7 separate regions of the Mus musculus genome follow, and all the other regions are reported to be linked to region 1. Evidence: microRNA targets listed by miRTarBase, many of them from high-throughput screens and not tested one by one. Region 1 holds a microRNA gene; each other region holds the end of a gene's coding sequence.

Evidence for each region. The annotated mature microRNA mmu-miR-758-3p reads UUUGUGACCUGGUCCACUA and lies in region 1 at 1,136-1,154, shown strand. An mRNA with a match to its seed (bases 2 to 7 or 8) in the 3' UTR can be bound and repressed. Matches are read on the target gene's strand: a 7mer-m8 pairs with bases 2 to 8, a 7mer-A1 pairs with bases 2 to 7 and ends in A, and an 8mer does both.
Region 2: the mRNA of Cbfa2t2 is a reported target of mmu-miR-758-3p. The part of its 3' UTR that is shown has no 7-base or 8-base seed match.
Region 3: miRTarBase lists Shank2 as a target of mmu-miR-758-3p. Seed matches in the 3' UTR shown: 7mer-A1 at 1,466-1,472.
Region 4: the mRNA of N4bp1 is a reported target of mmu-miR-758-3p. The part of its 3' UTR that is shown has no 7-base or 8-base seed match.
Region 5: miRTarBase lists Skida1 as a target of mmu-miR-758-3p. The part of its 3' UTR that is shown has no 7-base or 8-base seed match.
Region 6: miRTarBase lists Kcnv1 as a target of mmu-miR-758-3p. The part of its 3' UTR that is shown has no 7-base or 8-base seed match.
Region 7: the mRNA of Celf1 is a reported target of mmu-miR-758-3p. The part of its 3' UTR that is shown has no 7-base or 8-base seed match.

The regions. Positions count from the first base shown.
Region 1 is chr12:109,711,723-109,714,817 of GRCm38, forward strand. It overlaps Mir758 (microRNA 758), which reads left to right and starts at 1,088; the gene lies at 1,088-1,168. It overlaps Mir380 (microRNA 380), which reads left to right and starts at 81; the gene lies at 81-141. Mir1197 (microRNA 1197) reads left to right here and starts at 595; the gene lies at 595-714. Mir323 (microRNA 323) reads left to right here and starts at 786; the gene lies at 786-871. It also overlaps Mir329.
Region 2 is chr2:154,534,860-154,537,954 of GRCm38, forward strand. Cbfa2t2 (CBFA2/RUNX1 translocation partner 2) reads left to right here. Exons shown (of 11, transcript NM_172860.2): 11 at 25-3,095. The coding sequence ends at 321. Among named protein-coding and RNA genes, the nearest start is that of 1700003F12Rik, 12 kb to the right of the region's middle.
Region 3 is chr7:144,420,574-144,423,668 of GRCm38, reverse strand. Shank2 (SH3 and multiple ankyrin repeat domains 2) reads right to left here. Exons shown (of 16, transcript NM_001113373.3): 16 at 1-3,095. The coding sequence ends at 2,534. Among named protein-coding and RNA genes, the nearest start is that of Gm34621, 2.6 kb to the right of the region's middle.
Region 4 is chr8:86,842,060-86,845,059 of GRCm38, reverse strand. It overlaps N4bp1 (NEDD4 binding protein 1), which reads left to right. Exons shown (of 7, transcript NM_030563.2): 7 at 19-3,000. The coding sequence ends at 373. Among named protein-coding and RNA genes, the nearest start is that of Gm33877, 8.1 kb to the left of the region's middle.
Region 5 is chr2:18,043,099-18,046,193 of GRCm38, reverse strand. It overlaps Skida1 (SKI/DACH domain containing 1), which reads left to right. Exons shown (of 1, transcript NM_028317.3): 1 at 1-2,107. The coding sequence ends at 584. Among named protein-coding and RNA genes, the nearest start is that of Skida1, 3.8 kb to the left of the region's middle.
Region 6 is chr15:45,106,187-45,109,281 of GRCm38, forward strand. Kcnv1 (potassium channel, subfamily V, member 1) reads right to left here. Exons shown (of 3, transcript NM_026200.3): 3 at 98-3,095. The coding sequence ends at 2,788. Among named protein-coding and RNA genes, the nearest start is that of Kcnv1, 7.2 kb to the right of the region's middle.
Region 7 is chr2:91,012,858-91,015,952 of GRCm38, forward strand. Celf1 (CUGBP, Elav-like family member 1) reads left to right here. Exons shown (of 14, transcript NM_198683.2): 13 at 381-545. The coding sequence ends at 508. Among named protein-coding and RNA genes, the nearest start is that of Gm13777, 17 kb to the right of the region's middle.

The sequences.
Region 1 (3,095 bases):
TGCATCTAGGGTTTCCTGGAAGTGATAATCATGAGGAAAGAAGCCAGCTCCTGCACCACCCTCTCTCCATGGTACCTGAAAAGATGGTTGACCATAGAACATGCGCTACTTCTGTGTCGTATGTAGTATGGTCCACATCTTCTCGTTATCAAAGTCATTCGTGAGGGTTTTCCAGAGACCGAGCCAACTTCATGGGAGATATCCTGTCCTGGCTTCAGCACAGTACTTGGGGAGATGGTAGACTGTCGAGTGTGTGCGTTAATTCCAGCATGTACAGCATGGTCCACCACATCTCTGCATCAGCCGGTCACCAGGGGCTTTCTGAAAGCCATACCAATTGAGAGTAGGGCTCAGGCGGCAGACCCTATCCAACACAGATTACCCAGTGCTTGGCTACAGGCCATGTTCATTACCTACGACTCTGGCCATTTGATCCAAAGCCAATATTTGGCACCCAGCCCAGCCTTACAGGGCATCCTGGAAGTCATAGTGGCATTAAACATGAGTTTGTGGCCATTGCCACACATGCCGATTGCTGGTAGTTTGTGACACTCATTGAGAAGGCATTTTGGAGGTAACACCAAATTAAGTAAAGTGAGCTGGAATCAGCCAGCGTTACCTCAAGGTATTTGAAGATGCGGTTGACCATGGTGTGTACGCTTTATTTATGACGTAGGACACATGGTCTACTTCTTCTCAATATCACATCTCGCCTTGGAAGACTTCCAGGAGGTGACATCTGCTTTGAGGAAGAGCCAGTGTCCCGGTCTTCCTACTGCTGCTGCTTGGTACTTGGAGAGAGGTGGTCCGTGGCGCGTTCGCTTCATTTATGGCGCACATTACACGGTCGACCTCTTTGCGGTATCTAATCCCGCCTTGCGAGCTTTCCTGGAGCTAACACCAGCTGTGGGGTGGGGACACTAAATGTGTGTGCTAGCGCAACCCAGCCAGCGGGTTTGTCTTTTCTTGTGTCTGACAATAACTCTTGTGTGGCAGCCTTCTTCTCAGCAAATTTCTCTGGCTTGGCAGCTTCGTGGGCAGGGTGACTTGCAGACCAGGAAAGTGGCATCGACATGTGATACACGTGTGGGTGCGTGAGGTGGTTGACCAGAGAGCACACGCTATATTTGTGCCGTTTGTGACCTGGTCCACTAACCCTCAGTATCTAACCTTCCCTTGGAGAACTTCCTGGAAGAGATCTCAACTTTTGGGGACAGAGGCAATAAGCCAGCTGTACGCTGTTAGACTTGGAGACAGCATCCTCAGTACTTGCAACATATGTGCCTGTTATGGTAGTATTGGATGGGCTTCCAATGCTGTCCTATACTTGGATCCCTTCCTTGATATGGGGCCATCCAAGTTCAAGAAACGTACCATGTTGTCAGACATGACCAGGGTGTGTGTATGCCATTTATATATGGCACAGGTCGCAGGTCACCTTAGCACACTTGCATGCTAAATCTGTGGGAGGAATCATCTTTGGTTTGGGGGCATCTGTGCCTTTCTGTGGTTACCCAAAATGGTGGTAAGTCCTATAGCCAGTCTCTACTGCGCCACTGCTCTCTGGTTGTGACATAACTTCAGGATCATGCCATGGAGGTCTGCTGTACTGGGGCATGTGATGGGATGGCTGTCAGATATATATCAACTAATGGCTTGCTTGAGCACTTTGACTAACATCCAGTGTGCAACCCTGCATTCAACAGGCCTGCCAGGTCTGAAGGTCACGTTGGGGAATTACCGAGGTAGTCTTGTCAGTGTTCGCTTCTGGTACCGGAAGAGAGGTTTTCTGGGTCTCTGTTTCTTTGATGAGAATGAAACACACCCAGCTAACCTTTTTTTCAGTATCAAATCCCATCTTGGAGGCTTCGTGGTCCAGATCCCAGTCTCAGGGAAGGATGGTCCTGTCAGCATCCAGCCAGGGGACAGGAATAACTGGTTCTCCACAAAGCCAGCGAGTGGATTATCGTTCTGAATGGTGTCCTTTGTCCTCTAAACCCTCCCAGGCCTGCCAGGTCTGAAGGTCCAGTTTGGGAAGGTGTCATTGTTATTGTTAACTGAGGATGTGGAAGAGGGGTTTCTGTGTTTGAAACACATTTGGTCAACCTCTCTTCCCATCAGAACAAACTATGGAGGCCTTCTGGTCCATACCTCAGCCTCAGCTGAGGACACACTAATAGTTATGAACAAGTGAGTGACGGACAAAACCCATCCCATACATCAGATTTCTGTTGCCTGTGCTTCTAACCTTCAGTATCTTGTCCATTCTCAGGAGGACTTCTCAACCAATATGGTGTTCCAAAGTTGGGGAAGATGGCAGCCACCGAGGCAACTCTACCCCAGGTCATCACAGGTAGGTTGCACCCACTTTGCTTCTAACAGGTTAGACACAGCCACCCCCACACATGTCCAGCATGCTTTGGAGGCACGGTGATGGGCTTTTAATCAGCCAACCCCTGCTATAGGACTGTCTATTGTAGAGAACACCCACTGTGTCAGATGGTACCTAGATCCATGCTATTCACACACACCCACATCCTTGTAATAAGAGACTTGGAATCAGCAGTGTTCTAGCAGTAGGAAAGCAAACCTGAAATTGGCACACACATTTGCCCAGTGAGCTTTAAGATATGAAATCTGGAGCGGGGCAGTGGTGGCGCACGCCTTTAATCCCAGCACTTGGGAGGCAGAGGCAGGTGGATTTCTGAGTTCGAGGCCAGCTTGGTCTACAGAATGAGTTCCAGGACAGCCAGGGCTATACAGAGAAACCCTGTCTCGAAAAAAACCAAACCAACCAACCAACCAAACAAACAAACAAATAAACAAAAGATGTGAAATCTGTTCTTAGTCCTTAACTCCACCCAGGGTTGTGGTCAGCAGTAGAGCTTTCTGTGGGGTTCCAGGTAGAACACAATTCTCATCTGCAAATCATGAGCCCTTTTCATAGGCATTTCATATCAGATATCTACATTATGATTTATAACAGTAGCAAAATCACAGTTATGAAGTAACATTGAAAATAATTTTACAGTTGGGGATTACCCAACATGAGGAAGTATATTAAAGGGTCACAGCACTAGGAAGGTTGAGAACCA
Region 2 (3,095 bases), not on the chromosome of region 1:
CTAACTGACGCCTGTGTCTTGCAGAACTGCTGGAACTGTGGCCGAAAAGCCAGTGAGACGTGCAGTGGCTGCAACATTGCTCGCTACTGCGGCTCCTTCTGCCAGCATAAGGACTGGGAGCGGCACCACCGCCTCTGTGGCCAGAGTCTACATGGCCACAGTCCCCACAGCCAGAGCAGGCCACTGCTCCCTGGAGGGCGGGGCTCAGCCAGGTCTGCTGACTGCAGTGTGCCCAGCCCAGCCCTGGACAAGACCTCAGCTACCACCTCACGGTCCTCAACACCTGCCTCTGTGACAGCCATTGATGCCAACGGGCTCTAAGCTACAGACTCCACCTGTCCTGATGACCCCTCCACATGGGAGCATGCTTGCACCAGTGAGCTGGCTATTAGAACAAGTAGCTGTTGGGTCGTCAGCAAGAAGTGAAGTTGGCAGGAAGCATCCAAGAGGCACTCCACAGCTTCTCTGGGATTTGCCACGTGTCCTTGGAAGAACTAATGTATCATTCTCTGCACACAGGAAGTAGCTTGAGCTGCCTCCTCCATGGCTTTCCTGAGGTTCCTCTTCCAGCTAAAGCTGGCATAACCAGCCCCTTCTCAGTGTATACACCAGCTCCCTCCGACTCCTTGCATTAGCATATTGTCAATAGTGTCCCACACTGTCCACAGTAGAGGCCTGAAGACTGGTAGCAGGCTTAGGAGGAGGCCCTTCCTTCCCCTGTCTTCAAACAGTTCCTTGAGCCCCATATCCACCCTCGAGTGACACTGATTGGCCTAAAAGAGACTTGGATAGCACAAAAGCAGTACTCAGGACTCTCTCCTGAGCTGCTCAGAGCTGTTAAGATGCTCAGAAATGCAAGAAAGAAGTCACTGTTTCAGTAAAATCTCTAGTAATGATAAAAAATTAAATTAGTCTTCCCAAGCATCATGGATCATTTTGGACAAGATTTTCTAACTTGGCTGTCTTCGTTAGTTTGGAACCCACCTCTTAACTCCAGTGTTTTTCTTGATTTTGCTTGTGTAAAAAATAATCTCCATCGCATGGATCGGTCTGAGAGAGGATGGAGCCATTGTGCTAGTCTTTTCTCTAAGCATGTTGGCCAAACTAAAATATTCCGTGGATCACCTTGGAAATGCAGAGCCTCTGCCACTGCTTGACTGTTTAAAACAGTCGCCTTGTTGTATGTGTCCTTCTCTCTGGGACTGCATGTCTGGATCCTTGGGGATGTCTTGTGAGTAGGTTCTGTTTGGCACCTAAGCAGTGCTCCTAACCCTGATGGGATTATTCGCACCTGGTTTTGACACCACCTCATAGGTTTATTATCAGGTGGACATTTGAGGCATCCTTTTTCTGTGCTCCGTGTTTATAGTCTCCCTCACAGCTCAGAGTTTGTGAAGAATGGGAACCGTTTTTGAAGAGCCTGACCTGTTTTTTTTTTTTTTTTTTTTTTTTCCCATCTTCAGGAACTTTTCCAATTATCTGATTCTCCAAATAGAATTTGGAGACATCGATCTGGTCATTATTGGACCTATTGATCAGGCCAAGTACTGCTCACATCTTTTCCTTGCCATCTAAAGTTTATTAGTTGTCAGCACCTTGCATCGGCCACTCAGTATACTCCAGAATCGTTTTGCCCTGTGCAGTCAATTGGGATAAGTCATTGCCTTTGATCCTGTTGGCTTTTGGAAGCTGTGGTCACTTTTTGTACAATGAACAAGTCTGAAGAACAAGTCTGAATACTAACACTTGCCCCATAAAAGTATGGATTTAGTGTCTTTGCACACAGTTAAGGCTGATTTAAAAATACTGAGTTCCTATCTCATTGGAACAAGGGTTCTCAGACTTAGAAAGTAGACCTTTAAAATCATGTTATTTTAGCATAGAATACCCAAGACCCACTGTTTGCCAGACAGCTTAGTACAGCCTGGCCTCCCTGGTCCCATCCCATCAGTCTAGTGGGGACAACTTTGACTTACTAGATAGAGTTAGTACCAGACAGCACTTGTCCATACTCAGACACAAAACTTCGGGCAGATCAGGAGCTTCTGTGAACATGAGAATGTCTCCTGGTGTGCCCTGGTCAGTTACTCAGTAGTAAAATGGATGAACACCCTTTAAGTGTTAAATTTTTTTGCCACAGAACTACTCCAGATAGTTGGAATAAAGAGCTAGAACCAATACATTACTACTTACCTGGTTGGAGATCAGTTTGTACAGCAAACTGGGTTACAAAATCTAGCCTACCTTTGTGGGCTGTGTGATTGGCCTGTCCGATTCTGAGTTTCTATAGTGCTGTTGGGGACTGCTTTGCTTCTGTGTCCTACCCAGGTTTGTCTACACACTCGGACAGTACTTTACACTATATAGTTCAGTTCTCAGACTTGTCTCTATCTTGCCTCTGGTCAGCATCACTCTCGGGGTTTTGTTTTTGGTTTGGTTTGGTTTGGTTTGGTTTGGTTTGGTTTGGTTTTTCGAGACAGGGTTTCTCCGTGTAGCCCTGGCTGTCCTGGAACTCACTCTGTAGACCGGACTGGCCTTGAACTCAGAAATCCGCCTGCCTCTGCCTCCCAAGTGCTGAGATTAAAGGCATGCACTACCATGGCCCGGCTTCAGCATCACTCTTACGTGACATCTGTTTAGGACTTTTCAGATTTAAGGAGTTCCTTTCTGCAGTTCTCCAACTCCTCCCTAGGCAGGAGCAGCAGCAGTAGGAGCTGGAGCTACAAGTGATTCCTGGCTCACCGCTTTGTTTCTAAGTCTGCTTATATGAGCCACCAGGCTGGGAGTGAACATAGAGCTTCAGGCTGCTCACAAGTCTGGCCTCTGCAGTAACTATTTGAGGAAGAAAAGTAGTCAGGGCTTGGTCATTCTGTACCAAGTGAGGGATAAAATTTCAGGAAGTAAATAACAAAAGTAGCCAAACTGGGAGTTCTGCACACCAGTCCTCGCTCCAGCAAATGAAGACTTGTTGAAGCTAGCTTGGGACATGGCTTATTTGGTAGCATGGACTTCATTCCCAGTGTGGCATACACCAGCCATGGTGGCACATACCTGTAATCCTCTAACACTTAGGAGGTAGAAGCAGGAGGACCAGA
Region 3 (3,095 bases), not on the chromosome of region 1:
CCCAGTATCTAGGCAAATGTGTGTTTGGGTGATTGGGGGTCAGTTCTGATAGGTCCAGCTGTGTTCCTGTGACCAGACACTGCAAAGCAAAGCTGGCCTATCAGCTTCCAAGGCTGACAGTCAGCTTGCTTCTGCTTGGAGGCATGTGGCTTGAAGTCTAAGGAAGGCAGTCGCAGCTTGTCACCTGCTGCCTAAGCTCAGCGTGCCCCAAGCCACCAGGTCTCTCCTGCCTAGCATCTGCCTGGCACTGAGCACAGAGGTAATGCCAACCAGAAGCAAAGGAAAGGAGCCTAGTGCTATGGCACACTGAGGGGACTTCGAAGAACCACCCATTGGAAGACAAGTTAATGGCGAGGCCACATTTTCACACTCTCTGAATTCTTCAGTGGCTACCCGCAGTGTCTGGACTTGCAGCATCTCTGGAGTGTTACTCATTCATTCGCCATGCTGTGGATGAGGGAACCCAGAGCGTGGTGCTCAACAGTCACCTGGTACCAGCTGACTGGATGACTCAGAAGTTAGGGTTGACCTGCAAAGGGTTTTGGGGACAGAATAAGATTCAAAGGTCTGGTCTCCATAACAAGGGTTGTGGTGGATGCATGAGGGTGTGTGTGTGTGTGTGTGTGTGTGTGTGTGTGTGTGTGTGTGTAGTATGCATGTATGTGCATTGTTGTTGGAGAAACCGCAGAGTCATGGGTTCTAATCTTTTTGATGAAATAATTGCCCTTCAATGATGAAACTGTGGCAAAAGCTGAAAAACAACTTGATGTCACAGGTTCGGATGTGACCAGGGAAGGTTAATTTTTTAAAGGTCGCTTGTATAATTGTCCCAAGGAAATGGTATTTTTAAACCACAACCCCCTTTCCCTTTAGTTTTCCAGCACTGGGTGGCACAGAGGCTGCCTAGTAGACCAGCCATTTTCTTCTTAAAGTATTGTGCTTATGAACTATCTGTACACATATTTAAACTTGCAGTAAAGAAAGATTTTTTTTAATTGCTAAATTTTATGTGTTCATTGTAGCGCTGTTCCAGGCCTCGTCAGACACGTGGTTGTGAGCATAAGTGAAGAGAGAAAAAAAAAAAAAGGAAAAAGATGTTTTATAATTAGAGATGGGCTGGGCTAGTTCTGAAATGATAAAACCGTCACCTGACATTCGAGTCTCCTCTGAGCGTGGGGGAGAGGGGGTTTCGGGAGCCTGGCTGGCTGCATGGTGGCTGTGTGCAGTCAGTGACCTCCCTGGGACATTAGAGGTATTGTTTTGGGAGGGAGACATCTGGGGACGAGAAGGGTGGGCTCAGGTGGCTGGGCCTGAGGTGAGGCTTGGTCCACGATGCTCCCCACCTTCTTTTCCACACACACCTAAACTTTGCCACAGCCTGTGCCCCACTTTCTGTCCTCCACCAGGTCCTGACCACGGGCTTCTCTGAGAGCCAGATGTTAAGACAAGCTGGTGGGATCCCCACTTTGTGAGAGAAGGGAGAAAGGCCCCTGAGTTCCACCTTTCTTGGCCTCTGAGAGCCAAAGGGCTGCCTCGGCAGGATGCTCAGCCAAGGCCTGGTGCAGATGAAGGGTATGGCATTCCATCTGCTACCAGGGAGGACAGCAGCTTCCCGATGGCAGCCATGCTTACCACAAGCCTCAGGTCCTCTTGTCCTTGTAAAAGTAGCTGCTCACCTGTTCTGACCTCTGTGGAGCTCTGCAGACATCCAATTAGAGTAAATTTCAAGAGCCCCAACCTCTCCCTCCTGGGCAGATGCTCTGGGCAGACACCTGTCCTTGCCCTGGAGGAGGCTGTGGGCTTGGGCAGCCACACATTGGCTGGCTCTACAGCCAGGCCTCCCTCCTCCTCAGGATCGTGACTTTGTGCTTTGACTAACTCCGTGTGACTTCATTTTGGCCACCCTGGAATTATGCTAATCTGTTTGCAGAAATAAAGACAGCAAGTTAAGCAAGCAGGGCACGATCCTGTCCACAGCCACCACTGCCAAGGACCTAGGGGCCAAAGAAGCTCCGATGCACGTCACAGGAGTCGGACAAAGAGGTGGATGGGACAGTGTTCTCTACAGTCTGGCTCAGGCAGGGCTCCACCTGGAACTGCTCACTGAGAGCCAAGCACAGGGGAGGGACAGAGCCAATGAGCCCACCCAGAGGCCAAAGGCCTGAAGAAAGGCTGTGTTCCAGGGCTGAGGGGTGAGAGTTGCCCAGAAGGCAGAGGAGGGAGGCCTCAGGAGGTATCTGGAGTACACTGGTGTCTGCCACAGGAGGAGAGGGTCCCACATACCGTCTATGGCAGCCTCTGAGACCAGGACAGAAACCCCCTTACTGTCCCTTTGGACAGAAGCCACCCAAGATATCTGTGGCCCCAGTTTGGCCACACCAAGGGACACCCACAGCACATCTTTGGGTACCCAGAGACAAACCCACAGACTGGAGGTTGGTGCTGTCAGCCTCTGCTTGGCCACCACACATTTCAACATAAGCCCATCTCTACTTATAAGAAAGGAGTCTGTGAAGGCCCAGGGCAGCCACCCTTATCTGTCCAGCAGCTGTTTCAAAGCCCTTTCTATGTTCATCCTATGCCCAACTCGAGTCACCCCAAGATCTATCAAGTCTTCCTTCTGAAGGTTTGGCAGGTGGCTGCCGTCAATCTCATTGTCCATGAACGTCTCCTTGTGTTCACCCAAGTTCAGACTTTCCAGCCAGTCTGCCACATCTGGTTTCGTCCACAGGTGGACAGGCTTAGTTGTAAAAGGCTTATTTGAGATTGGCTGTTGCAATATTGAAGGAGATGGTGACCTGCTCCGTCCTGCTGGGTTCAAGCCAAAGAGGTCCCCTGCAGGGGACTGGCTCGGAAGGCTAAAGACATCTGAGAGTGTGGGGGAGGGAGAGGCTGCAGTGGCGGACGGAGGGGGAGGGGTGGGCAGGATCTCTTTGCTCAATTCCGTTGGTGAAACCACAGGGCTTGGGGCGCGTCTAGGTCCTGAGGTTCTGCTTTCATAGTCGGGGGGCCGGCTCTGCAGGGTGATGGGCTGGGAGGTGCCAGGGCGGACAGTGAAGGTGACCGTCGTGCTCCGTGTACCTGAGACGGTGCTC
Region 4 (3,000 bases), not on the chromosome of region 1:
CTCTCACTTCATCCACAGACACATGCAGCCGCTACTCAATGCCCTGCCAAGTGTGGGCACATTTGACCCTGGCTTCCGGAGTCCCAGCACGCAGGTAGCCAACAACAGCCACCAGCCTCCACCCCGGATCCAGACCTCTTCAAGCCCTTGGCTTCCCCAGCAGTCCCACTTCACAGCTCTGGCCACCCTTCCCAGTATGCAGCAGAACCCACCCCTGCCAGCACAGAGATCTTCTGCAGAGACCAGCGAGCTGAGGGAGGCGCTGCTAAAGATCTTCCCTGACTCTGAGCAAAAGCTGAAGATCGACCAGATCCTGGCAGCTCATCCGTACATGAAAGACCTGAATGCCCTGTCGGCCCTGGTGTTGGACTGACGGCTGGGCTGGAGCCCACTGATGCTGGGGAACTGCCAACCGTGGGATGGACCATAACGTGAAGAAGCCTTCCCGGAAAGCATTGCTGTGTTGTATAGAAAAAGGAGGGAAATGTTTTATGTATACAAAAGTCTGGGGTTTCAAAGCCAGCTTTTTTCTATATATAAATTATGCTGCTATTACAGACTTAACGTTTTCTGTAAAAGGAAAGTACTCTTTCTGCCTGTTCAGAACTGTTTAATAGCAGTTACTCTTGAGTGTATTTACAGTTTTATGTTTTTTAAACTATTTTCCTTAAAGCTGAAGAAAAAATGACAAATAAATATGGTTAGCCTTTCTAAATAAAATTTTAAAAAAAAATTAAGAAAAAAAAAGGAGTTGCTTCCTTAAGGAAAGCAAGACTTCTTAAAGTCTATTTTCTTGAGGTAATTTGTCCTGTTCACTAAACATGGCGTGTGCTCCCCTGCCTTCATCCCTAGAGTGGGCCTGCTCTGCTCTTGTGGGGCCTTCTCAGCGAGCCATTATGAGAGTGAAGAAGTGGAGCCACTAGATGGCATCTGACACCCGGGCTGTCACCAGTGGCCAGACAAAGTCAGACTGAGGAGCAGGTGGGAAGTCTTAGAGGACGTACAGCCCCAGCATGCTCCCTGACTGGCGTAGCTCCGTAGTGCACTCACCAGCCATGGCCGCCATGCTCCCACCCTGGCTCCACAGCTACCTTAGCCTCAGAAGACAAGGTAGGCACTGAAGCCTCTGGTGAGGAGACCCCCCCCCCCCCATGTGGCGTTTGTACAGCTTTGCCAAAAAGTTTTCTATTCTCAAGGATGACCCAAGCCAATAAATAGCATTAGTCCTTTCAGAAGGGCCTCAAAGCCCCTGCATTTCCCTTCTTTTGTCTACTTAGAGGTTTCTTAGCAGCAATTCCTGAGTCTTTCAGAACCAGTTATCTCAGTATTGTCTCTTCTCGGTGTAGCTTGAAGTCTGTGTCTGTGAACCCCCTCCTGGTCATTCTTAGTGTCTTGGCTCTCACCTGGACCTTCAAAGGGCTTTGTGTTCTCCATCCATGCAGTCTCCAGGCCCTTGTGGTTAAATTCACTGCCCTGTGGATTGTTGTTCTCCCGGTCCCGCAGGTAACCGTGGACTTGGTGCTGGTTTGTTATCCGTAGTGCAGGGACTGTGTAGATCACAGAATGCTGCCACCATGCCGTGTCTTGGTTCATTTGGTCCCTGCACCCATCAGGAGATGAACAGAGCCTTCTAGGTGGCCATACTTACGTGATCTCTCCTGAATTTGTTGATGATCCAGCCTGCTGGGAAGCTGTTTGTCATCTGTCCCTAGGGGGTTTCAGACCTGCAGGCTGTGTGAGTACAGAACAGAGACTTCTGGCCAGCCCCAGGAGTTGACCCACCACAGTCCCCCACCCAGTGCCTCAGCTTGGGAGCACAGCAAAGGTGCCAAGGTGGAGCTGTCTCCAGGGCTTCCTGGTGTGGTCAATCCCAGCCCAGCACTGCTGGGAACCAGGAGAGCCGGGAGTACTCCATAGCTGCCTCAGCCTGATGCTGGCCTGAGGAGCACAGGCTCTCAAAGGCCCTTCGGCTAGCCTGATCTTTGAGTTGTGTGCCTCTGTGTTCTTAGTATTGTTTCTGAGAGATACCTGCCCATTTCCCCTTGCCCCATATAGGAGGGAGGAAAAAGCTGGAGGAAACCAAAAGGCATTAATTACTTTGTAGATTATAATGTGAAATATAATTCTAGATTCTTTGTGAAATCTGTCACATTTAGGTATAACATTTACAGCCCAGTTATCCAGCCACTGAAGAAAGCTCACAACTTGCTTCTTTGCCTCATCCAAAGCTCTGTTGCTGCTAGGTGCTTGTAGATGCTTGACCTCCATCCCTCCAGTGCCTCCTCAGTGAACTTGGGAGCGTCTTGGAATTCCTCCCTGTGTGGAGTGCCTCTGCCTCCTGTGTATCCTGGCATTTGGTTGAGGCGGCCAGTGCAGCTAAGGCTGATACCTTTGGTCATTGGACAAGGTGTCGTGTGTGTGTGTGTGTGTGTGTGTGTGTGTGTGTGTGTGTGTGTGTGTGTCCTGGTCCAGTGTGGTTGACAGGCTCAGCTGTATTTCTAGGACATGTTAGGCATGAAAGAGAGCTCCACCTCTCCTTGCCAGTCCCAAGTACCTAGCCCTCCCCCTGGGAGGGGCATCTACTGCAGGCCCTCTGCACCAGGCTCACCCAGGCCCTTGCCTGCTCCCCATACCTCTCCAGGGCTGTCCCTCCTCAGCATTCTGAGCCACCTCAGCTGGGTCCATCAGTTGCACTGTTCGCCCGAATCGTTACTTGGTTCCTCTGATCCCTTTAGTTAAAACACCCTTCGTTCTGTTGCTAATGCTTCTCTCTGGCTTCCCACTTTCCCCTCCCAGATTTGGAAACTTGGCTTCTGCCCACCACATGGGAGTAGCCTGGGAAATCACTGGTTGCCATTTCATCATTAATGGAGTAGCTACAGACAGCAAAGCCATTGGCCTCCCTTTCTCTGTTTTCCTTCTTGAAGCGCTCCATTCCTTTCTTCTTGAAGGCCTAGCCTTAATTCAGTTTCTCAGCAGGTGGCTCTCAAGGTGAACCAC
Region 5 (3,095 bases), not on the chromosome of region 1:
AGGGTGAGTTTTACAATATGACTGAGAAGAAGGAGGAGGACGCCTTGGTACCCACAGCCAAGGAAGGTTTTGCATGCCCTGAGAAAGAAACGCCTTCCTTAAATCCACTGGCTCAGAGTCAGGGCCTCTCATGCACTTTAGGATCTCCAAAACCTGAGGATGGGGAATATAAATTTGGTGCCAGGGTGAGAAAAAATTACCGGACACTAGTACTGGGCAAACGACCAGTCCTTCAGACACCTCCAGTCAAACCAAATTTGAAATCAGCTAGAAGCCCTCGTCCTACAGGTAAAACTGAGACACATGAAGGAACACTGGATGACTTTACAGTTTTAAACAGACGCAAAAAGGTAGCCAGCAATGTAGCATCAGCAGTGAAAAGGCCATTTAATTTCATGGCAAATTTTCCTTGTCCACCTTCACTCATTATTGGGAAGGATGGGGATTTGTGGCCAGCGTATTCCTTAAACACCACTAAGGATTCCCAACCTCCTCACAAGGCCCATCCTATATGGAAATGGCAGCTGGGCGGTTCTGCAATACCTCTTCCACCTAGTCACAAATTCAGGAAATTTAATTCATAAAAAAATGTTTTGGAAGATATTTTCTCGAACCATATTACCTTCCTTTTGTTGTAAACTGCACAGGATGGCTTGTACCAAGTCCATTAATGGTGTTACACCCCTTTTGGAGTCCTGGTTTATCGCATTTTGAAGACAAAAATCGGATTACTTTTTTTTCCCATTGCGGGTTGTTTTTTTTTTTTTTTTATGGTGGGGGAGGGGTGGGAGAAGGGTTGGTTTACATACCACAGACTACTTCAGGCTAAAGACTCAAGTAACACTCAGTTATTATGGTAGAGCTGGAACACTTTACTGTTTCAATGGTAATAATGCACCGGTACCTCAATTCAACTGCTACAAATAAATGTCAAAAGGTTGAATAATAAATATCACAATGAGCCATTAAGTTTATGCACTAGATTTCAGACCTGAAAGTGTAACTGGTATTCAGTGAAAGTTTGTTAGGTTACATGGTTACACAATGAGGTAGCAAGAAGTTTCTGTGAGCCCAAATGTAATTTTCTGGAGCTCTTATTTGTGGGGTGTCTTTTTTATTTTTTTTCTAAACCCAGATTCCCTTTCCAATAGTAGTTGCACTTAACTGTTTTTTTGTTTTGTTTTGTTTTGTTTTTTAATGGAAAGATTGGGGGTCTGAGTCCTGATTGGATGCTGATTTAAAAGCTGCCCATTGTGTGAGAAGTAAAAAAATACTTTTTTTTTTTTAACCTTTACAGTCACTCCTTGCAACTGGAAAAGCCCCTTCTGCGCTCTCACCCAAACATTTAAAATAGGATGACTCTTGCTGTGCTCCTGCTTGTCTTCTGATCTGAAGATAACTCTTCAAGCTTTCAAAACAATTAAAACATTTCTCTTAATAGCAGGATGTTTAATGGTCTAACTCATCCTAGTGTCCAAGCAGTAAATACAACCAAGAAAAAGAGTCATAACACCCCAAGTGAAAAATAACTGATTTCAGGGCTTTTTGGTATTAGAACTCAGGCACTTGGATTTTATTACCTTATGCTTTTTTTTTTCTGCATCTCTCTAAACTTCTGTTTCAGGCCATCCTGTGTATAGAACAGGAGAGTTTCTACTGCAAGTGACAATCAGAGGTGACTATCTATATTTGCACTTAAAATCAAAGTAGTTCCACAGGCAAGTGGTCTAGCCCTTGGTGAGGCCATGCTGGTGGACTGTGTTGTAAAGATGAGAGCAGTAAATCAAAATTATGGAAATTTGCACTGTTGAAAAGCATGCTTTAGCTTTATTTTCAATTAAAAACACTGTTTAAAATTCCTGGTTCCATACATTTCTACTTATTCCAGATTGAAGAAGGGTTAACAAGAATGAATGGCTTTGTTGACATTTTCACTTGTAATGTTTTTGCCTGAAAGAAATGCATTTATTGGGTGCAGTGTTTTGTGGTAATACTTTGTGATGAGACCAATCAGGTTCTGGGCACAACACTGGCAAACTTCCTCTCAAATAACAGAAAAACTTTTCAAACTTGTTATAGGCCAACTATTAAAAAGTTTCATATCTAAGAAAGTGAAGCATAAATCAGTTGTTATTTTAACGAAAGTTGTATCTAGTAATTTTTGGGTCACCAAATTATGTATCTTAGATCCTGGTTATCTTTAGTCTAAGAAGTTGCATCTACAGACCATAAATCACAAAGCAAAACAAAACACCACTAAGATGTTTACTGTGTGAATTTAAAGCATTATTTCTCATGGAAATTCAGCTATTTATTTTCCTTAACCTTTTAATTCCTACCCCCCTTTGAAATTTTCCCCTTGACTATAAATGTTTCAGATAGTTCTGGATGGTCTCAGACCTAATTGCTGTGTATTATCTGTGGTTTTCCTCCTGTTGTAAAGGACAGAGGCTGAGAATACCTGCATCCAAATACATTTGGATAGAGTGAACAGATGCTTTGAACTGCCTTCCTTCCTTTTCTTCTTGAATGTTGCCAGATGTAGGCTCACTGGAATTTTTTTTTTTTTTTTTTGAATCACAGATATGGTCAAAGCAACATTGGGGGATGTTATTCTTGAATTCATGTTTGTATATATTTCCAAACGCTAGTCCATAGTCTCAGTTAAAAGTGCCAGAAATCCAAACTGGCTTCTGAGCTCGAATCCATTCCTCTTTGGAAGGCAATGAAGAATTTAGGGACAGTGAGTTGTCTTTATAAAGAAAAACAAAACAAAAAACAAAAGCAAAGCAGTCTGTAAAAAGTATGACACCCACACAGGGGAAGTCTGTAATTTCCATTCTTTAATTAGTGACAAGACAAGAAAGTTCAAGTGCAGAAACTGCTGCATTTGGACGAGGACTTTCCATGGTGGCTACAGACTGTTACCAAATTATAAACTGAGAATCTATTTTAAGTCTACAGATCTTGAGTGTGGAAGATTGTAAGATGGGATAAACACAAAATTAAGACAAATATTCCATAGAATTTTGGGCAAAATATGAGGCTGCAGCTTGGACACTTGGTCCCCAGTCCTCAGAGAATCAGTAGATTCA
Region 6 (3,095 bases), not on the chromosome of region 1:
CCCTAACACTACTTGAGGGTAAATAACCAGAGACCAATAGCCCAGAGACCTAAGGGGAAGACAACTGTTCTACTTAAGGAATATAACAAAACAAAATGATTTCTAATAACATCTTGCTATATTCACAATTTTGTGCCTTGTTCAGTCATCATCAGAGAAATACCTTTTTGTAGTACATTGAAACAAATACAAAGATACAGCTAGACAATGTTCATAGTGCAAGAGACTTTGATACACTCAGTCCTAAATGGATTGTCTCCATCATACCTCTTTCTTCCAGACTTACAAAATCCTGTGGAAAAAGAGTCAGGGAGATTGTAAGAATCAGAGGGAATAGGGGGTCCAAAGCCCTCTAAGCACAACAAGATCAATGCACAAATGAAAACATAGAAACTGTGGCAGTGTACACAGAGTTTTGCCTGGTTCTGCACCAGATGGACTCCCAGAGACAAGAGGAGAATTTAACACAGCCCCTTTCTCTAACCTGGAAGTTATCTCCAGTTTATAACAACTCATAAATGAAAAATCAGTTTTCTCCATTCATTGTCTCCTACCAGGAATGAAAACCCAATCATAAGCAGTAGATAGCCAAGACAAAACAAACTTAGAGGCATCTTTTGAGGTTCTTTGTCACATAATATCTTGTGAAGTATTTTTTTATTTATTTTTATTTATTGTAGCCTTACAGGTACTTTGTGTATCTATCATGGCATCAATTTATGTGTTTTTATTGGATTCCTTTGTGTGCAAGTGTGTGTGCCTTTTCTATGAGTGTTTCCCGTGCTTTCCCCCTCTTTTCTTCTTTTTCTGTTGTTCTAAATCCTACTTTATATTATTATTATTTATAATTATTTTTATTATTTAGATGTCTGTGTTTTCTAAGGGAGGGAAGAAAAGGTGTGGATTTTGATGTGAGGGGATATGGGAAAGATCTCATAGGAGTTGAGAGAAGTGAAACCATAATCAGAATGCATGATGTATTCTGATTCACAATTAAAGTAGAAAAATTATACTAAAAAAACTCATGCCATGGAAATTTCATCAGATTTTAAGCATGCATATAAGAAAAGAGGAGGTGTTACCTTGTTTCTGTGGTAAATATTATGATTTTACATATCTAAATTAGGAATGTACTTAGAATCTATGATGTCATAACAATGATTGGCACCTTTATTGCTGCTTGGTAGTTTGTAAGATAGTAAGATGCCTTAAATACAGTTGGTGAAATATATAGGCACACATTAAACAGAACACTAAAAATTATAAAGCCATATGTTAAGACAAAGGATTATTGTTTTTACTTTTTGAGACAGGGTCTTACCATTCCTTGATGTGTTCTTGAACTTGCACTTCAGATGAACCTGACCTAGAATGTGCTATGCAGTCCAATTGGCTACAGGTTTATGTGTCTTCTGGTTTAGCTTTCCATGTGTTGTGATTTGGGGCTTGCATTACAGGATTAAAAGGAAACTGTTATTCAATGCTTATTACCATCTAAGTGTTTTTCCTAATTCTATTCTCAGCGAAGTTTTGATATTGCAGTTATTCTGCATGTATGCATATGCATTTCATGTGTATTTGCTTTAATAAATAGGGAGAGTAACATTTCTATCCCAGAGCCAATTTTATTTATTTTTTAAGGAACTTTATTGCATATATCAAGAAAGTAGGCAATAAGGAAATCCTTTGTTAAGCTTTTCAAAATATTACTTTGTATAATATTTAGAACCAGGGTTTTTCTTAACTTTAAAACTTTTTGGTTTAATTATATTTCACAATGTCTAGGCATTGTAGTATTACTATAAATACCAAAGAAGTGATGGTGACATCTAAACATTTGTTATTTACCTCAACAGTCAGAAAGCTTCTCACAATATTGTTTTTAACAAATAAAAAGATCTACAAGTTCATCTAATGATGTCATCCAACATATTTCCACTTATGAAAAGACTATCTAATCTTTTTGATGGATAAATTTAGGATCTTTACTACTTCAGTTTTACATATTCATGATTTTGAAAGCATAGCTTAAATAATTCATCTATAATGAGATGTTTTATAAATCATTTAATTTTCCTAGAGAGCTATGCTGCATTCTTCTTCACACATCACACTCAGCTGGGAAGATGAAGCTGCCTAGGCACTTGAAGTCTCACCTACTCCACTCTTCAGTTTGAGGCTTCCTCTCGCAACTGAACTGATGGAGGGCAGAGCTCGGTCCAGTTGGACCCAGTGACTTGTACTTGATCGAAGATGAGGTACTCACTACGGCTACTAAGCTTAAGTGTTTGATTGCAAAGCTTATCTTTATACTCAGTGGCTTTACTTGATAGAGAAAGAAATAACTTATTTGGAGAAAAATCTTTAAATGGCAAAAATTTCTTCAGTGTGTTTTTAAATGTTCAGTTATTCTCCCACCCCTCTGGACTGTAGAATTCGACTTCCATTAAAAACAGAAACTATAGCGCTACTGAAAGCCCAACAATAAAGACACATGAATCTTTAAATTTTGATGTATGAAATTATATTAATTGATATTTGAAAATTCAAATATGTGTTTCCTTTCCCAATTGATTTTGGTTGTATTAATTGGCTATGTTAAAGATGTGTGTCAAAATAATCAGTAGTTGCTATAGGAGATGTTAAATATTCTAGGATATCAATACACCAGAAAGAAGATGAGAAGTGCTCAAGAAAGTCATCATCAATATACAGATATCCATAGCAGCAAGGCTTCATCAATCCAGCTAAATATACAGAGGTTTTGTAAATAAGTTGAAGGTAAACTTAAAACCAGAAATCATCTCCACCACTGCTTCTAGTACTTGCTCTCTCCCTGCCCTTTAATCGAAGCATCTCCATTATGCTCCGGGCATAGACATCCCTCAAGTTAACACTAATATATGAGTCAGTGGCTATATTCTTGGTAAGTTTCTTGAGAGCTTCACGCTGTCTCACAGCTGCTTCCTTGAGTTTCAAGGTGAAGTAGCAAGCAGAGAATCGATCATTAATAATGGCAATAGGCAAGGCCAAGACAAGGATTCCTGACAGAATACACATGAAGGCCACGATTTTGCCTGTGGTGGTGTCTGGTC
Region 7 (3,095 bases), not on the chromosome of region 1:
TTCTGGTGTAAGAATGGGATTAAGTATTTTGCCACTGAGAGAGAAAGAAAGTGGCTGCTGACAAATTGAGAAAAATCTGAGTTTGAGTTTGACCTTAGCAGATCATATGACCTCTTTCTGAGCTTTAGTTTTATCTGTAGTAGAGGTAGTGATTTCTGCTCACAGTATTGGTCCAGAGGAACTAGTGTATAGAAATGGCTTTGCAAGGGGAGAAAGAATACTGGTAAATGTCAGGCAGTAGCTTTGAGAACCTGATTGTAGTTTCATGTGGTTGTCATTGCCAGAATTGTCGTTCATGCTGAGAACAAATAAGATACGAACAAGGACTGAACTCCTTGCTTTGTTAGGTTCCTCACCTAGGTTTCTGCTTGAACACACAGGTTTTGTAAGTTATGACAATCCTGTCTCAGCTCAAGCTGCCATCCAGTCCATGAACGGCTTTCAAATTGGAATGAAGAGGCTTAAAGTGCAGCTCAAACGTTCGAAGAATGATAGTAAGCCCTACTGAGTGCTCCCCTCTGAGACTGGAGTGAGAAGATCTTCTGGTAAGTGGGGGAGGAGCACCCTTAATCATTCGAAGCCCTAAGGCTGTGTGTTAACAGCCCTGGACCCTGATCCCTGCCACTCTCGCAGGCACAGCTTGCCCTGAAGACTCAGCTACTGCCTTCTGTGGGAGTGTCGCTTCGTACAGAGGACAAGTTTGTGCTTTGGTTTCCAGTGTTTTACTTTGGAGTTTAGGTGCCATATCCTGAGGGGTTTTGTTTTGTTTTGTTTTGTTTTGTTTCTTTTTCCCTTTATTTAAAGTTTGCTGTGTTTGTAACCAGTTTGTTGAGAAGGACCAACACCAGTCCACCTTGAGGAAGAGGGAAATGGGTTTAAAAGATAATTAGAACATGCCCCAAACCATGGAAAGAGAGGGCTGAGCAGAACAGAAAGTTGATCCCCGAAGTCTCTCTCCCTGTGTGGAAAGAGTGAGAACTAAGTCTAATGAGGTACGGGGTGGGTGAGTGGGTGAGGTGTCTTAGCTTCTAGACCCCTTAGAACTGGCTGCTTTCTGTGGAAATGCTGAATTTATGCCACCTATTTTTCTAATTTTTGTCCTGGATTTCTGCCCTTCTTTCCTAAAAGGGGGTAAGCAAGTCTCATGAAATAATGCACTTTTCAGTTAGCCTGAAATATGCAAATAGGAGGGAGATACCCATGACTAGGCAGCCCAGCCCGACATTCGTGTTATATTGATTGCCCTGCCTGGTTGGTGGCTGTTTAGGGGAAGCAGCCAGAGAGGTCATTTTCATTAATTTTAACATGAAGTTAGAATGTACCCATTTCCAGTAGTCTCTTTTGTAGAAAGTATATGGAAGTTCATAACACCAAGGAATGTTGCCTCCTTCTCTGGCCACAGTTTTCTCATGAGGGGACATAAGACACTCTTAACAGCATCTCTAGCCAACAAGGGTGCAGTTCATGGGCAGAGCAGTCAAGAAGCCATCTGATTAAGGGAAGAGAGACCTGCTTCTTGGTGTGCCTGAATCAAGGTCACTTCAAGCCACTTTGCTATATTTGAGCAGAGCCTAGTATTCAAGAAGGTTCAGAAGTGCATTTCTGATTCCTTAATGAAGGTACTCCAAAAGCTGTGTTCCCATAAGGTCTGGCAGGCCTCTCCTCTAGCCCCATTTTCTGTCCTTGAAGACAGAAGAAAGTATAGGACGTTTACAGGCTCCATATGGATTTAGTGTTCATTTACCTCAGTATTAACCCATGTTCATTTTGTCATCATGCTTACAGTAAGCTCCCTGCTGCCTTTCATGGGTCTTAACTCCAGCCTTTGCCAGTGTCCCACATAGCCTCTGGGCTCTCCTGCTCTAAGAGAAGCTGTGGGAATGTGCATCTGAGCAGAGGTAGCCCTATAAATATATGATTAGTAGTCACAGCCAGGGCCTGGGTTCCTGGGTCATTGGAAGCTTAAACCTCATAAGTTACAAGTCTTGACTCCTAGCAGCAGAGATTAGAAGGGGCTAACCTGCTTTAAGTCAGATAGGGACTCTCCTTGTCATGCTGTCCCTGTGGATAACAAACAGGGATTGACCATCTTGCTGTTGTACAGGAAGTTGTTAGTGGTGTGTTATCCCATTGATGCTGGGACAGCTGTTCTCTTATAGTGATAAGTTGAGTCTGTTGTCCTCTTAAACATGAAACATACACTTCTTAAGCTGAACCACGTAAACTTGAATTCTGTGCACTGGGAGAAAAGTGTCCTGTGTTTCAAGATAAAACTGTTCTAAAGGCTTCCAGGGTATTGATGGAATTTTTTAAAATAATGCAAAAAAAATAAAAAATAAAAAACTTTAAAAGGAAAAAAAAGAAAAAAATGCTAGGTTGGGCAGGCACTGCTCAGAATCCCAACCGGCCGGAACCAAGAATGTTGTTTCTATTTTTATAGAAGTTTTATACAGCTCCGGGGTGGAGAATATTTATTACCTAAATTATATCTCTGGAAAAGGCCAGGATTTTGTAGAATCCAGAATGTGATTGTTGTACACACAGGGTGCTGTGTATGATTGAAACTACTGACTTTCTGTGACCGTTTGCAGCCCAGGTAACCTGTCCAAGGGGAAGGCTAACATTAATGCTGTGAATTGGCAGAGGCGAGAGCTGTGCTCCACAGGGAGCTGCCAGTGCTGTGCTCCCTAACCTTCTGTTCTGCCTTCCTCCTCGGCCAGAACATCACGTTCTCCCTGCTCCTCTGGTTCCCTCTAGCTCTCCCATTTCATTGTCCACAGATTTGTCCTGTGCTCCAGGACCAAATGAAACTTTCCTAATGATATTAGAAGCAAAGGAGTGACCCCACCTTTGGAACAGACCCCAAACTTCATACCTACTTGTGATTTCTAAAAGGAGCACTTGCCCCAGCAGAGCCATGGTCAGCCATGGCTGGCTCAGTTAGCCAGCTAGCCAGCTGGGGAGACCATGTACTTCCATTATCCCGTTTGCCCAGTGCATTAGCACAGCACTAGCACTGTCCTCGAGCACAGTTCCCTCCCCAGGCCAAAGATGGTTTTGTTGAAGAAGCTGCTCCCCTATAAGTCTTGATGTGA